3 linked regions of the Saccharomyces cerevisiae S288C genome follow. Changing the gene in region 1 together with any one later gene gives a genetic interaction. Each region holds a gene or a part of one and is shown in the gene's direction. Other genes may lie near its edges.

The links. A genetic interaction does not mean that the proteins touch.
Region 2: mutations in YPR089W (region 1) and YLR126C together harm fitness more than expected from each alone (negative genetic interaction), as found in Saccharomyces cerevisiae (2 studies listed by BioGRID).
Region 3: mutations in YPR089W (region 1) and SLY41 together harm fitness more than expected from each alone (negative genetic interaction), as found in Saccharomyces cerevisiae (2 studies listed by BioGRID).

The regions. Positions count from the first base shown.
Region 1 is NC_001148.4:711,364-717,885, forward strand, and holds YPR089W (uncharacterized protein), read left to right. Parts: upstream 1-1,911; coding exon 1,912-4,578; downstream 4,579-6,522. Other genes in the region: RNA-binding signal recognition particle subunit SRP54, read right to left, coding at 40-1,665; NVJ2 (Nvj2p), read right to left, coding at 4,793-6,522.
Region 2 is NC_001144.5:393,543-397,326, reverse strand, and holds YLR126C (putative amidotransferase), read left to right. Parts: upstream 1-1,806; coding exon 1,807-2,562; downstream 2,563-3,784. Other genes in the region: APC2 (anaphase promoting complex subunit 2), read left to right, coding at 1-1,569; YLR125W (uncharacterized protein), read right to left, coding at 3,433-3,784. UniProt on the Saccharomyces cerevisiae protein: May have a role in copper and iron homeostasis.
Region 3 is NC_001147.6:891,509-895,851, reverse strand, and holds SLY41 (Sly41p), read left to right. Parts: upstream 1-1,759; coding exon 1,760-3,121; downstream 3,122-4,343. Other genes in the region: U4/U6-U5 snRNP complex subunit SNU66, read left to right, coding at 1-1,228. UniProt on the Saccharomyces cerevisiae protein: Able to suppress the functional loss of YPT1. May form a channel. Protein SLY41 is not essential for cell viability. The SLY41 gene is a multicopy suppressor.

The DNA.
Region 1 (6,522 bases):
ACATATATATATATACTGTGTATATTCAAATGGTGGCCTTTAGCCCATACCGAATTGTTTTGCCATTTGTTGCATTTGTGGATCTTGCATCATTTTCATCATTTCGTTCATATCAGGCATTCCTCCGCCCATTCCTCCGCCCATTCCGCCACCAAACATGTTCATCATATTTTGCATTAGACCTGGATTTTGCTTCAGCTTTTGTTGTGCCTGCTGCATCATTTGTGGAGTCACTTTTGGCATACCAGGCATATTCGGCATACCAGGCATGTTTGGCATACCCGGCATGTTTGGCATGCCAGGCATCCTAGCATTGGCACCAGGGGCTCCTGGTTGTTGCTGGGTTGCGGTTTGTGCCATTCTTGCCATCATCTGCTGTTGCATCAATATCATTTCTACCTCGAACACAGAAGTACCTGAACCTTTAGCTACACGAACCATTCTTGTAGGCTCTTCAATGAACATTCTACCATCAGATTCTAGTTCTTCTTTAGTCATAGAATCCAAAACGTAAACCATTTTCTTCATCTTTTGAGAGGTTTCCTCCTCCCCTACTTGATTCATCATATTACTCATACCAGGAATCATCTGCGCTATATTTGATAATGGACCCATTTTCATTATTGTTTGCATCTGTTTCTTGAAATCTAGCAAGGTGAACTTACCCTTTTGGATGTTTTCCATTGTGGCTTTTGCATCTTCCTTGTTGGAAACGGTTTGTAATTGCTCAAAGAGACTCTCTATATCACCAATACCCAACAGTTTAGATATGAATGACTTAGGCGAGAACTTTTCCAAATCATGAATGTGCTCACCTGTACCAATAAAGATAATCGGAGTGTTTGTGGCTGCAACGGCCGAAATTGCCCCACCCCCTCTAGCGTGGCCGTCCATCTTGGTTAATATAATGGCACCAAAATCGGACGATTCTTTGAAAGCCTTGGATTGTTGCTCTGCAGCTTGACCAATGGAAGCATCTAAAACCATGATAGTTTGATTAGGCTTGATGACATTGGATATTTCAATCATTTCTTGGAACAACTCTTCTTCTTGATGATGCCTACCTGAAGTATCAACGATGATGATATCAAACTTCTCTTTCTTAAACTTGTTAATACCTTCTTCTGCAACTTTGGCAGGGTCAGTCTCCGTATATGACCCATAAAATGGAATTCTTGCTCTTATAGCGTTTTGTTTCAATTGGTCAAATGCACCAGCACGGAAAGTATCCGCACATACCAAACCCACTTTGAAACCTCTCTTCGAGTAGTAAACTGCTAACTTGGTACAGGAAGTAGTTTTACCTGAACCTTGCAGCCCAACAAACATGATGATGTTTGTCTTTCTCTTCTTGGGCACAAAGGCCTTCTCTTCACTACCTTCGCAGGTGACCAACTTACACAGTTCATCAAACACCGTTTTCTGAATAAGCTTCTTAGTTTGTGCGTTTGTTGTGGACTTCTCACTACGGTTCTCACTCAGCAGCTGTGACCTTATATTATTTCGTAACTTAGAAACCAGGGCAATATTCACATCCGATTCTAACAACGCAGTCACGATGCCCTTTAACATTACATCTACGGATGTAGTAAAGTCATCCTGTGTATTGGAAATCGCGTTATTCACAGCAGAATTAATCCGCTTCCCCAAATCAGCCAAAACCATCCTTTAGTTAGACTCGATGCTGTGTTTTCTTTCCCTTCTCTTCTGCATCCTTGCTGTTCAACCACTTTTCATTATCTTGTTTTACCACTATTTTTTTTCACTTTGTTGATGTCTTTATCGTTAGCGGTGATTTTTCGATATTGAGATGAACGAAAAGACCATCATACTATAACAATATGGGTAGTGACTGAAGTATAGGAGAGCCGCAATTGCCGGTCTACAGAACTCACAAGGCATTCGTGAACAATGAACAGTGTTTGGGATGATGCTAGAATAGAGGACAGAACGGTGGACAAACCAGTAGGCTCCTCTCACGCTCAGGAGAAACTCGCGCTGGTAAAATCAACTTTGTTTAAACTTGACCAAGAAGATAGACCAGAATGCGATTCCTGGGTACAACTAGTCAAATTGATCTGCGACGAAGACCGTGAAGAAGAATTTACTACATTCAAGGAGTTATTAAGGGAAGTCAAAAACGTTAATGATAAATCCGTCACAGGCGTTGCCTTGATTCATTATATCATTGTATTTGATCGTGCAGACTACATTGAGTTACTACATGATAATCCTTCTGGTGCAAAATTAGATTTGAATCTTGTCGACGACATTGTAGGTTACACACCTTTGATGTGGAGTTTCAGTCTGCAGAGAAGGAACTGTTGCTTGGAGCTGTTCAACGCATTCGACGAGATAAACTTCAACATGACGAATAAGGCTGGATTAACCGCTTGGGATATGGTTCCTCCATATTCACCACTTTCGGAATTTTTGGAACAAAACAATATGTTTCGATACCGTACCGAAGTAAAACATGAAATACCTCAAATTTCCCAACCGAAAGACACCTCTCTTCTAATGAGTAATGAAGACTCTACCACGAAAGAAACTTTTGATAATATTGACTTACAAGTCGCCGGTTTGACCCTGTCCCCTGGTGCAAATGACAACATGTTTCTGGATTCTGATGAAAAGAACATGAATCATTCTCAGGGAGCTGCAACCCTAATAGATCCCACATATACAGAAGACTACCACGGTACATTTGATTATGATAAACTATCTCCGGACCAATACTTGGAATTTTCCGACTTTGATATACCACAAATCCTGAATCTATTGATATCGCTACCACAAAAGGAACCTCACATGACCACCTATCCAGCTGGTTTAATATACCAATGTATTAGATATGCTGATCATAAGATAAAGTCCAAGCCACTAGTAGAATCGTTAATTAACTTATCTCTAACAAAAATTCTGACCAGTGTTTCATCCAACGGAGCTGCAGGATTGGTCTCCACAGAAGCTTCTTTGCAAGCAGGTGACATTGTATTGCAATCGTATTGGTTAAGTTGTTTATCTTTTCTCTATTACTACCTCTGTAGAGATGATTCATTTTTCAAGAGGCATCCAAGCGTGTTACAAGAGCTGATTAACACCATCCACTCTATTATCATAGAACTGACATCTTCCATTCATTGCAGGTTGATTTCTTTGATAGATTCAACTTTACTAGCATACACAACAATCCAGGACGTTAAACAAACTTTATACAAAAGAGACTGGAACTTTTTTAAAAAGAGAAAGCAGGCCAAGCTTTTATTGAAGGAAAAGAACAGAAAACAATTAAAGGAACAACAAAAGAAAGAACTTCATCGAAAAAGCCAGGGTCAAGAAAATCATGAAGAAGAGGAGGGTCAACAAGATGGGAATGATTCAGATGATAGGGCATCAACAAATGATGATAACAATTCTAGTGTTTCACTCTTTTATGATAAAGAAATTTTGAGACATTTATATCCTCCATCATTCGAAGAGCAGATGAAACCCTCTCCACTAAAGATTGTTCAAATATTTGGTGCCTTGTCTTACGTTCTTAATTTACATCAAACGCATCCGATTTTCCAACAACAGTGTCTCTCTATTTCAGTTAACTGGTTTGCCACGACCTTATTCAATAAGATCTTAAAGGACAAAAAGAAAAGATCTTTATCAAGAGCCCATGCTATTCAAATCAGGTTAAATCTTTCAACTCTAGAATCATGGATACAGAACAACGATTTCTGTGTTCCTAAACCGATGCTTATTGATGACTTCATGTGGCAGCGCTTTCCAATGACTTTAATTCGCGACGTTGGCGAGATAGATTTATCGGATCCGATACTAAGAAATGTAGCAACTTACAAACCTATAGATGAAAATAACAAGGACTTGATATATGATACGTCAAACTCATTATTTTACTACCAACCTTTCCATAAGATCGCCCAAATTCATCTTGAGCCAGTTTTCCAACTATTACAATGGTTGCAAGTAGCTACAACACTAGATAGTGAAGAATCATTAATATCAACAATGAATTTATTACCAAGAATTACACCAGTACAGCTCCTAAAGTCTATGGAAAAATACAATTACGAATTGAATGAAAATAAATTCAACTCCAAACTGAAGAAATTTTTAAACAACAAAATCAAAGATAGTAAGATGAGCAAGGCAGACGCGTATTTACAAGAACATGAAATACCGTATCTAGTTTTACCAACTATACCCGAAATGACAGACTTGTATTCAAAGGGTCCTGATTCACATTCTTTCCAACCGTTTTTACCAGGCAGTATCCAAGACGATGTTTATGAAATTCACGATGTCAACTTCAAACAAAGACAAAATGAACCACAGATATCTCGGACTAACTCGGGTACCTCAGATTTTACTGGAGATGAGGATAAGGCGCAATATGAAACTGAAGGGGTAGGGGAAAGTATAGATATTAACGAAACAGTCGAACCCGAGAGCAACGCGTTCAATGTAGGTAATGATGATTATTTTAAAGAATTAAATATTCCGTCTTCAACTGCTCAACGTCCTGCTTGGTCGAATAATGATGATATGGAACAAAATCCGTGGTAATTTGTGCGTTAGAACAGTGAACTTTTGTATCGAACTTTATATAATAATTCTACGGATGTATCCATCTTATTTCTTTTCAAAAGAATGGAAGAATAGAAATGTAAATAATGAGTTAAAAGGGGCAGTTGCTTGATATTTTGACACGAATTTAGTTACAACATTTTGCATATAGCTTCAAGTGATATTTATTTATTTTTAATATAGTACCGTGGACTCACAGTTTGGGCTCTCGCTGTTCTTCAAATTCTAAATCTTGCTTGAAAAAGCCGTCATTAAAACGATTCTGAGAGGTCTTCTTAACAAAAGCTTGAGAGCTTTCAAGTTTTGAAGCTTTCACATGGGGATCACCATTTTTGAGCGAATTCTGAGAATCATTTGAGGATACAGAAAACTTTCTATTTTCTTTGTTCGCAAACATCTTTGAAGCATTCATATTTGAAGCCGACGGTGGAACTGGAAAATTCTCAGTGTCTTTTTCCTTCCTGCCTTCTAGTTTTGGAGATAGTGTATTTAACGGTTGTGAAGGCCTTCTTGGTACTGGTCTCCTATTAGAAATCATTTTTGGATTGGATGTAAGGATAGGATTATCTGATTCTCTCTCATCTGCTGAATCGTCATTTTTCTTATCTTGAACATCTATTTCATCCATATCTTCGGTGTCACTCGAATTACCAACATTATCCTTATACCATCTACCGATTTTCTTGATTGAATTCTTGAAGTATTTCCTTGACTTGGTAGAATTTTCAGAACTGGAAACATCATCATTAGTCGCGGTTGTGACTGTTGTCTGGGTTGTAGTTTTCGTTGCCACTCCAGATGCGTCAACAAGATCTTTTAGGTTTTCTTTCTTTCTCTCTGGCCTTAAGGCTTTTTTGATTCGACTCTGGGTTTTCATTCCGCCCTCTTGAAGTGCTTCTAAGTGTTCCTTAGCACTAGTATTATTCATATCTGAGGCTGCCGCAGCAGTGCGAGCCCTCGCCGCTGCCTCAGGATCCTGCTCCTCCCAAATACCACCTCTGTATACTTCATTAGGTGTTGGATAAAAAACAATATCATCCATAAACGGTACAACTAGGGACTCCTTCACGGCTTCGGCAAACTTACTCTTTATAGCGTTAGTAACGACGTTGTATGATAATTTACTTGAACTGACAATGGGCTCAATTTCAAAATCCATTATAGGTTCGGTGCGAAAAGCATACCAAATTCTGTTAGATGGAGGTGGTTTGATTAAAAATAAAAGTGGACCGGAAAATTCTTTAATTTTTATGGACAACTGCAAAGAAACCTCCCTTTGTTTGAAACGTGATCCCAAGTTAATACTCGCCTTTGTCGCAATAATAATTGTCAAGTTTCCCCTGTATTGAACGTCGATAGCAATCTTAGTCGAACCCTCAGGAGACAATTCTAATAACTCAGGAGAGGTGAATAATGGAGCACTATCACCCACGTCGACCTTTTCAACAACCAAATCATCCAAGAACCCTGGGGTTTTTATTTTATTCAATTTCTTGCAGATTTTCTCATGAATAAACTTATTCAACGTATCAGTTTGTTGCAGAGAAAGAAATAATCTCCCAAGAAGAGCATTCAGCCACTTAGTAGTTAACTGATTTTCAGTAGAGTTGATATCCTGAATCAATTGTAACATATCCTTAGTCTTCAAATGAGCTGCGTTAGCTGAAACATTAGGATCCAATAAACCAGTTGAGAGGGAATTACTGTTTTTAGAGGCATTGATCAACTGATAATACCAATCTTCTTTGTCCATGTTATTATCGAAATACAAGAAGAACTGATTTGAGCTATGGAATTGTGATTGATATTCATGTGTAGTGTCATTGGTAGAGATGTCACCGTTATTCGATTCAGCACTGGTAAGTGGGTCGAAGTGTGGCAGGATAACATTATGGTTTTTAGAGTCTATAGAAACGAGGTCAT
Region 2 (3,784 bases), on another chromosome or scaffold:
AACCCCAGCGTAACTACGGTGGACGCTTTGTTGAGATATGTTAAAACTATCAAAGCATTTTTGGTCCTGGATCCAACAGGGAGATGCCTACATTCAATAACCACGTTTGTTAAACCTTACTTTCAGGAGCGGAAGCACTTAGTAAATGTATTGTTATACGCAATGTTGGACTTACCTGAAGAAGAACTAAAGGAGAAAATTAATTTCAATGTAGATATGAAGGCACTGCTCTCACTTGTAGACACTTTGCACGATTCTGATATCAATCAAGATACGAACATCACCAAAAGGGACAAGAATAAAAAAAGCCCCTTTCTATGGAACCTCAAGGTGAAAGGAAAGAGGGAATTGAACAAGGACCTACCAATAAGACACGCCATGCTATACGAACATATACTCAATTATTATATAGCTTGGGTACCAGAGCCTAATGACATGATTCCCGGTAACATCAAATCAAGTTATATTAAGACAAATTTGTTTGAGGTGCTTTTGGATCTATTTGAATCAAGAGAATTTTTCATATCAGAATTTCGAAATCTCTTAACCGACAGATTATTCACTTTGAAATTTTATACGTTGGATGAAAAATGGACCCGATGTTTGAAATTAATAAGAGAAAAAATAGTCAAATTCACAGAAACAAGTCATTCCAATTATATAACAAACGGTATATTAGGACTCCTAGAAACAACAGCCCCTGCAGCAGATGCAGACCAGTCGAATTTGAATAGCATTGATGTTATGCTTTGGGATATAAAATGTAGCGAGGAGCTCTGCCGTAAAATGCATGAAGTAGCCGGACTGGATCCCATAATATTTCCAAAATTTATCTCACTCCTCTACTGGAAGTACAACTGCGATACACAAGGTTCTAATGATCTTGCATTTCATTTACCAATAGATTTAGAAAGGGAGCTACAGAAGTATTCTGATATATACTCACAGCTGAAACCTGGGCGCAAGTTACAACTATGCAAAGATAAAGGAAAAGTAGAAATACAATTAGCTTTCAAAGATGGTAGGAAATTAGTGTTAGACGTTTCTTTAGAACAATGCAGCGTAATAAATCAGTTTGATTCTCCAAATGATGAGCCAATTTGTTTATCACTAGAGCAGCTTTCTGAGTCACTAAATATTGCTCCTCCCAGGCTAACTCATTTGTTAGATTTCTGGATTCAAAAAGGTGTGCTTTTAAAAGAAAATGGAACCTATTCCGTTATTGAACATAGCGAGATGGATTTTGATCAAGCACAAAAGACCGCCCCAATGGAGATTGAGAACAGTAACTATGAACTACATAACGATTCTGAGATAGAAAGAAAATATGAATTGACACTTCAAAGAAGTCTGCCATTCATCGAAGGAATGCTGACTAATTTAGGCGCAATGAAACTTCATAAGATCCATTCTTTTTTGAAAATTACCGTGCCAAAAGATTGGGGATATAACCGAATTACTCTTCAACAATTAGAGGGATATTTAAACACTCTGGCCGATGAGGGTAGGCTGAAGTACATTGCCAATGGTTCATATGAAATAGTGAAAAATGGGCATAAAAACTCATGATTGAGGTGCAGTTTTTTACACGACTGCCACGAACAATCTCTTTTTGTCGCAAAATGTCAACGCGCGCCAAAGTGGGAAGTGGCAGATGAGGTGTACAGAAGAAAAGACAGATAAGGTTTATAATTTCACATAGATAATTGAGAAAGTTTGAAATATATACCGCTATAGCTCTGAAAATTATGCATTAACATATATTAGAATTGAATTATATCAAAAAAATACTAAGAAAACATCATAATGACAGTAAAAAAAATAGCTATTCTTTATACAGATGAAGATAACGAATGGAGTAAACCATGGGGCAATTTTGTTGATATGGCTATCAAGCTATTAGAACAGACCAGGAAATTGGAATGTATCGCAGAAGATGTCGAATATGAAGTGTTCCACGTACAAAAAAACGTGTTCCCTCAATTGTCAGATCTTCAGAAAGATGAGTATTTAGGCATATACATCACTGGTTCAAAATATGATTCATTTGATAATGAAATTGAATGGATTATGAAATTAAGAAGTTTCTTAAATGAGATGCTAACTAGCAAGACTGAATATCCGCCCGTAGCTGGAATATGTTTTGGTCATCAAGTTATCGCGGCTGCTCTAGGAAGTTCAGTTGGACGGAATCCGAAAGGGTTTGAAGGTGGGGTTGTGTCACTAAAACTGAACTCTGTGGGTCAAAAGTTATTTGGTGCTCAAGAATTAAATCTTTCTGAAGTGCACAGTGACTGCGTGTTCGATGTCCCAGAGGGATACCAAAATTGGGCGTCAAGTGAAAAATGTCAAAACCAAGGATTTTACAGGCAAAACAGAGTGCTGACGTTTCAAGGACACCCTGAATTCAATAGTGATGTCGCTCAGAAGGGGCTTTTGAAGTCTCAAGACAAGCTTACCCTTGAAGAGTTTAATAGATACGAAAGACAGTGCCAGGAGCTGGATAACAATGGCATACAAGCTGCCAGGAATATTTGGAGGTTATTCTTGCAAAAAATATGAAACAGCTGCTTGGGTTATATAGTCGATAGAGGACGTATAGGAAAGATAGCTTATAAGGTTTTTTTTTTTTTCAATTTCAACTAGTGTTGCATGAAGGCCTCGCTACGTCATTTCCTTCATTTCCCAGAATTCTGCAGAAACTTTATCAAATCACTCCAATGATCAGTATCCGAAGGTTCGGCACTACATAGTTTCGTTTATTAAGTCCAATAAATAAGCTTTTTTGTATGCACTTTTTTTTCGCTCATGCATAATGGATATAGCTGACTGAATGTCAGTAGTAATATCTGCGAGAAAATATGACACTAATTCTTGAGGTTTGTTGATTTACGTAATATGGTCCTCGTATAGTTAGAACGTTGTTCTAAAGAGCTAATGGCAGTTTCACTGCAGCGACCAAACAGGCAAGTTACACTCTCTGAGAACTAAACTTCTTGAATTGATGTCTGACCACGTTGGCATTTCCCAGTAAATTCAATAGGCTCAAATTAGCGGAAGAAAGCAATTTGTTATCTTTAATTAACCCTCAAAGAAATAGATACATCAATAAATGTCAACAGAGGCTTGAACTTATTTCACAATTTGTTCTCTTGTCCCATGTCAGGTGTAAAACTGACGGAAAGAACAACGTAAGATAATTAAGGTAAAAACAAAAAAAGGAAAGAATCTAGGCCCACATCGCCTTAGATCCACAACATGCAGAAATAGTAGCATACTTCTCCATTCAAATAACCCATTGTTTGCCTGCTTGAAAAGGAATTTTTTTTTTTTACTTTTTAATAATCCTGCTGTTTTTAGTGGCGTTTTTGTTCTCAACACTTTCCCAAGAGTATTCTCCCACCTCGCAAAATTATGGAATTTTCTTCATAATCAACCATGCCAAGAGCTTCTATAAACACCGGTGTATTTTTCAAGCCAATCTTTCATCTGAGGTTCGTCCAATACATTCAGTGGTATGTCTTTGTCCCGCAAGACTGCAACTAACTCTCCAAAAGCCCTTGCAGATTCCTCTTCAGCTTCTTCTGGATCTTCTTCTGAACTTTCTTCTGAACATAAGCCTGAATTCTCTTTCTCACCTGAAGATGAACATCCTTCTTCAGAGGTAATCACCCCATCTGGCCATGCCGCTGTTTCATTCAATAGAGGATAGTTATCCTCTTTCGGGCTAGCGACATCACCATTTTTATCCTCAATTCTACTTTTCAAGGATTCTTGCGAAGTT
Region 3 (4,343 bases), on another chromosome or scaffold:
AGAGAATGTGAAAGCTGCCGAGGAAAACGCTGATAGAGAGAAACTACGATTACGACAAATGAATAAAGATAGAAGACAAAAAAAAAAAATTTTAAATGTATCTAGCTTAGATATTGAAGAAGAAGAAGAAGGAGAGAAACACTCAATTACAACTACACATCTAATCATCGGAGCAGAACAGGGTGTTATGAAGGCACCGAATACTATATCAGCAAAACCACCAACGGGAAAAGTTAAAGTGAATTTCGATAGCGCAAATAATATGTCAGATGAAGATGGTGGAGACTTTAAACCTTTAAAAATTAAAAAACGTAAGATCAAGGACCCAAGATCTACTAAAGCTAGGAAGTCAAAAATTACTGATAAGATGGAAATTGTTAAGTTAGTAGATGAAGATGAAAGTTTATCCTGGATGGAAGAAGAACAGCCAGTCACCATAATAAATCCCAGAACAAGCTCAAACAATGAATTGAAAGGGCCAGAGGACCTCGCTAGAGAAATTGAAAAGGCAAGAGACGAAGAGAAGCGACGCACTGAAAGCATTTTGAAAATGCGTGAAATTTCCAACAGTATTGTCGTCGACGAAAAGGTAACTTTTTTAAATACTTTGGATACCAGTCTCTCCGAACGAAGTGCTACTGAGAATAAAGTGAAAGTGCATGGTGAAGGAGAGAAAAATATCGGAGATGTTACCAATGGACATACTAAGGAAGGGAGTGGAAACAATACACTGACTGAAGCAGTTAATAATGAACCAAACTACGAGGGAGATGCTGAAAATGCACCGAACTTTTTTTCTGGTCTTGCATCAACACTAGGATATCTTCGGAAAAAGAGTGTTTTCACCACAGGAGACGTCGATTTGAAACCAGGAAAGGATGTTAATAATAGTGAATCACTTCGAAGGGATGTCCGAAATAAAGAGCATACGGGCACTGGCACTTATACAAAAGATAAGCTACACGGACTGGAACAATTCACATCTAGTGACTCTTCCAATGCAAATACTCATTCAAAAAGACAAGATCATTATGATCCTGACATAAAACTGGTTTACAGAGACGAAAAGGGAAATCGACTGACTACTAAGGAGGCATATAAAAAACTGTCACAGAAATTTCATGGTACAAAAAGCAACAAGAAAAAGAGAGCAAAAATGAAATCCAGAATTGAAGCAAGGAAAAATACCCCTGAAAATGGTAGTTTGTTTGAATTTGATGACAATTAACCTAATCAGCAAATTCTACTAGCCCCAGCTTTTAATATTCAATATCTTGTTTTTCTCAAGTTTGAAACCTGTGTATAATTGTATTTGGTGTATAAGGCTACGTGGTGGCCTTGAATTCGGAAGTACTTTTCAAACATTAATATTCTGTGATATACATTTGTAAAGACCTTTTGCGTTGTGCCTGAATCTCAAGCCATTGTGTCATTTCACAGCGAAGTGTCATTGTTTTAAGCGATAGAAGCTTGGCGCAACGATCGGATAAAAAAAATTGAAAAAAAAAAAAAATTGAAATGAAAATAAAAACAATCAGATATTCAAAAAATTGAATATCTGTATTCATAAAGAGGAGAAAAAAGAATAAAGAAAAAAAAGAAAAGAACATTAGACTACACGTGCAGCATATACCAACTATTTTTATTATATGCTTATATATGCAAAGCTTACGATATTTAGAGAGTAAGTGGATTGACGATAAAAGTGTTTAATAAGGAGCCATTCGTTTTTATAAAGGAGAAACAATACCGGCCTAACATGATTCAAACGCAAAGTACAGCGATCAAACGACGTAATTCTGTTCATAAAAACCTCTTTGATCCATCACTGTATCAAATACCAGAACCACCACGTGGGGGGTTCCAACACCAAAAAAAAGAATACAGTAAGGAGACATTCAGTAATCAAGTCTTTGGATATGATATTACTAGCCTTAAAAAAAGATTCACGCAACTATTTCCTAGTAATATACAAGGGTACTTACCTGAAGTTGACCTAAGAATAACCATTATTTGTTCTATATGGTACGTCACGTCATCTATTTCAAGTAACCTATCTAAAGCCATTTTAAGAACTTTCAACCATCCCATAGCTCTCACAGAATTGCAATTTCTTGTTAGTGCTGTTCTATGTGTTGGATTTGCTTCCATCGTAAATTTATTCCGACTACCTCGTTTGAAGCATACGAAGTTTTCAAAGGCACTCAATAGTTTCCCTGACGGTATCCTTCCTGAATATCTCGATGGCAATTTCAGGAGTTCTATCCTGCACAAGTTTTTAGTTCCCTCAAAGCTGGTTTTGATGACCACTTTCCCTATGGGAATATTCCAATTTATTGGTCATATCACATCGCACAAGGCGGTATCTATGATACCAGTATCACTAGTGCATTCCGTGAAGGCATTATCCCCAATAATAACAGTTGGCTACTATAAATTTTTCGAACATCGTTATTACAATTCCATGACTTATTATACCTTGTTACTTTTAATTTTTGGCGTTATGACTACTTGCTGGTCAACACATGGCAGTAAGAGGGCTTCAGATAACAAAAGCGGATCTTCATTAATCGGGTTGCTTTTTGCCTTTATTTCCATGATAATATTTGTAGCACAGAATATTTTTGCAAAGAATATTTTAACCATCAGAAGGAAGGTAGGAATACTGCCGTCTTCTTCTACGGATGACGTCACGTCGAAGGAAGGGCAACCGAGTCTAGACAAAACAAGATTTTCTCCATTGCAAGTGGATAAGATTACCATATTGTTCTACTGCTCCTGCATTGGGTTTTCTTTAACCCTATTACCTTTTTTAACCGGCGAATTAATGCATGGCGGTAGCGTTATCAACGATTTAACGCTAGAAACAGTAGCCCTTGTAGCGATTCATGGAATAGCCCATTTTTTCCAAGCAATGCTTGCTTTCCAGTTGATCGGTTTACTATCTTCCATTAATTATTCGGTAGCAAACATCATGAAGAGGATTGTTGTTATATCCGTGGCACTCTTTTGGGAAACAAAGTTAAATTTTTTTCAGGTGTTTGGTGTTATCTTGACAATTGCCGGATTGTACGGTTATGACAAATGGGGGCTTTCCAAAAAAGATGGACGTCAGGCATAATATGAAGTAATACTATTGAGTACAAACCATCATTCAAGGTAGGACACTTAGTACTATATCAAATATATAATCAAAAAAAAAACCCTCGAAGGTCTTTTTTATCTTATTTACTGCTACTACCTCTGTTGCTAGCATTACTTCAAGATCCTAAACTGTTACCCCACCCCCGCACCATATCAAGGTTAAAAATCCGATGTGGCGGTACTTATTTGGTTATTTATCTCATTTACATTAATATGCGTACGGGAATGGCCTTCCGCTCCGTGGAGGATAAAGTGCGGTCATTTTATTATTTTTCGAAAACAATGGCTACAATCCCTTGATTATCTCACATGCGATTACAAAGCAAAAGAGAAGATTCGCATGCAGGAGCCATACACGCGTCTTTTTTAAGGTATTTCCACGATCTCGCGGAAAAACTTATAGAACGAACAACTATTGCTTTAACTAGGAAAGAATAAGAAAAAATAGCGATCATACTAGAACCCACAGTCGAGGCACAAGGATTTTGAGGATTGCTCTACCCCTAATGCCTATTGCTTCGATTGCTGAAAGCGGATCTACTCCTTTTTCCAAGTACTCGAAAGGTTGAGAGAAATAAAAATAGACTAGTCGACGGACAATGCCAATAAAGTTTGGTTATACGAACTGCTTTAACCAAATTAATATTGGACAGACTCCGTGTTTTTTGGTTTTGCCCTTTTTTCCCGCTAGAACGACATTGTGTTTCTCCAAAATTATTCCATCTTTTCCCTCGTGTTAACAATAGAGTCACAACGCACCTGTTATTATGATCTCGGGGGTGGCTTCCCGAACATCGTCGGTTGAATACTGCGCTTTGGCGTCCGAAAAAGAAAAGATAGGAAAGGATCGAATTTTTGACATTTTTCTCAACCTGCTGCGCGCTGTTCTATAGACGTTTGAGGCACCTGAAAAAGAAATACAGCGGAATAATTACTGTTCTGCTGAATCGCCCTAGGCGGTATTGTATGAGGCTAATAATAGAGAGACATCTCTGAAAAGAAACTAGAGGAAAATTTTTCAAAAATATCTATTTTGCTCAGAGAAATGAATATAATAAAGAAGCTATTTGGTTAGATCTCCCAGTAGTTACGGGGACTAGATATATAAACTGCTTGATGTACGTTTGGAAATTCTCAAATAGCAATTCTCTCTTCAAAGTTAGTGAAGGATAGGTTATATCTGTAAAAACATACTAAGA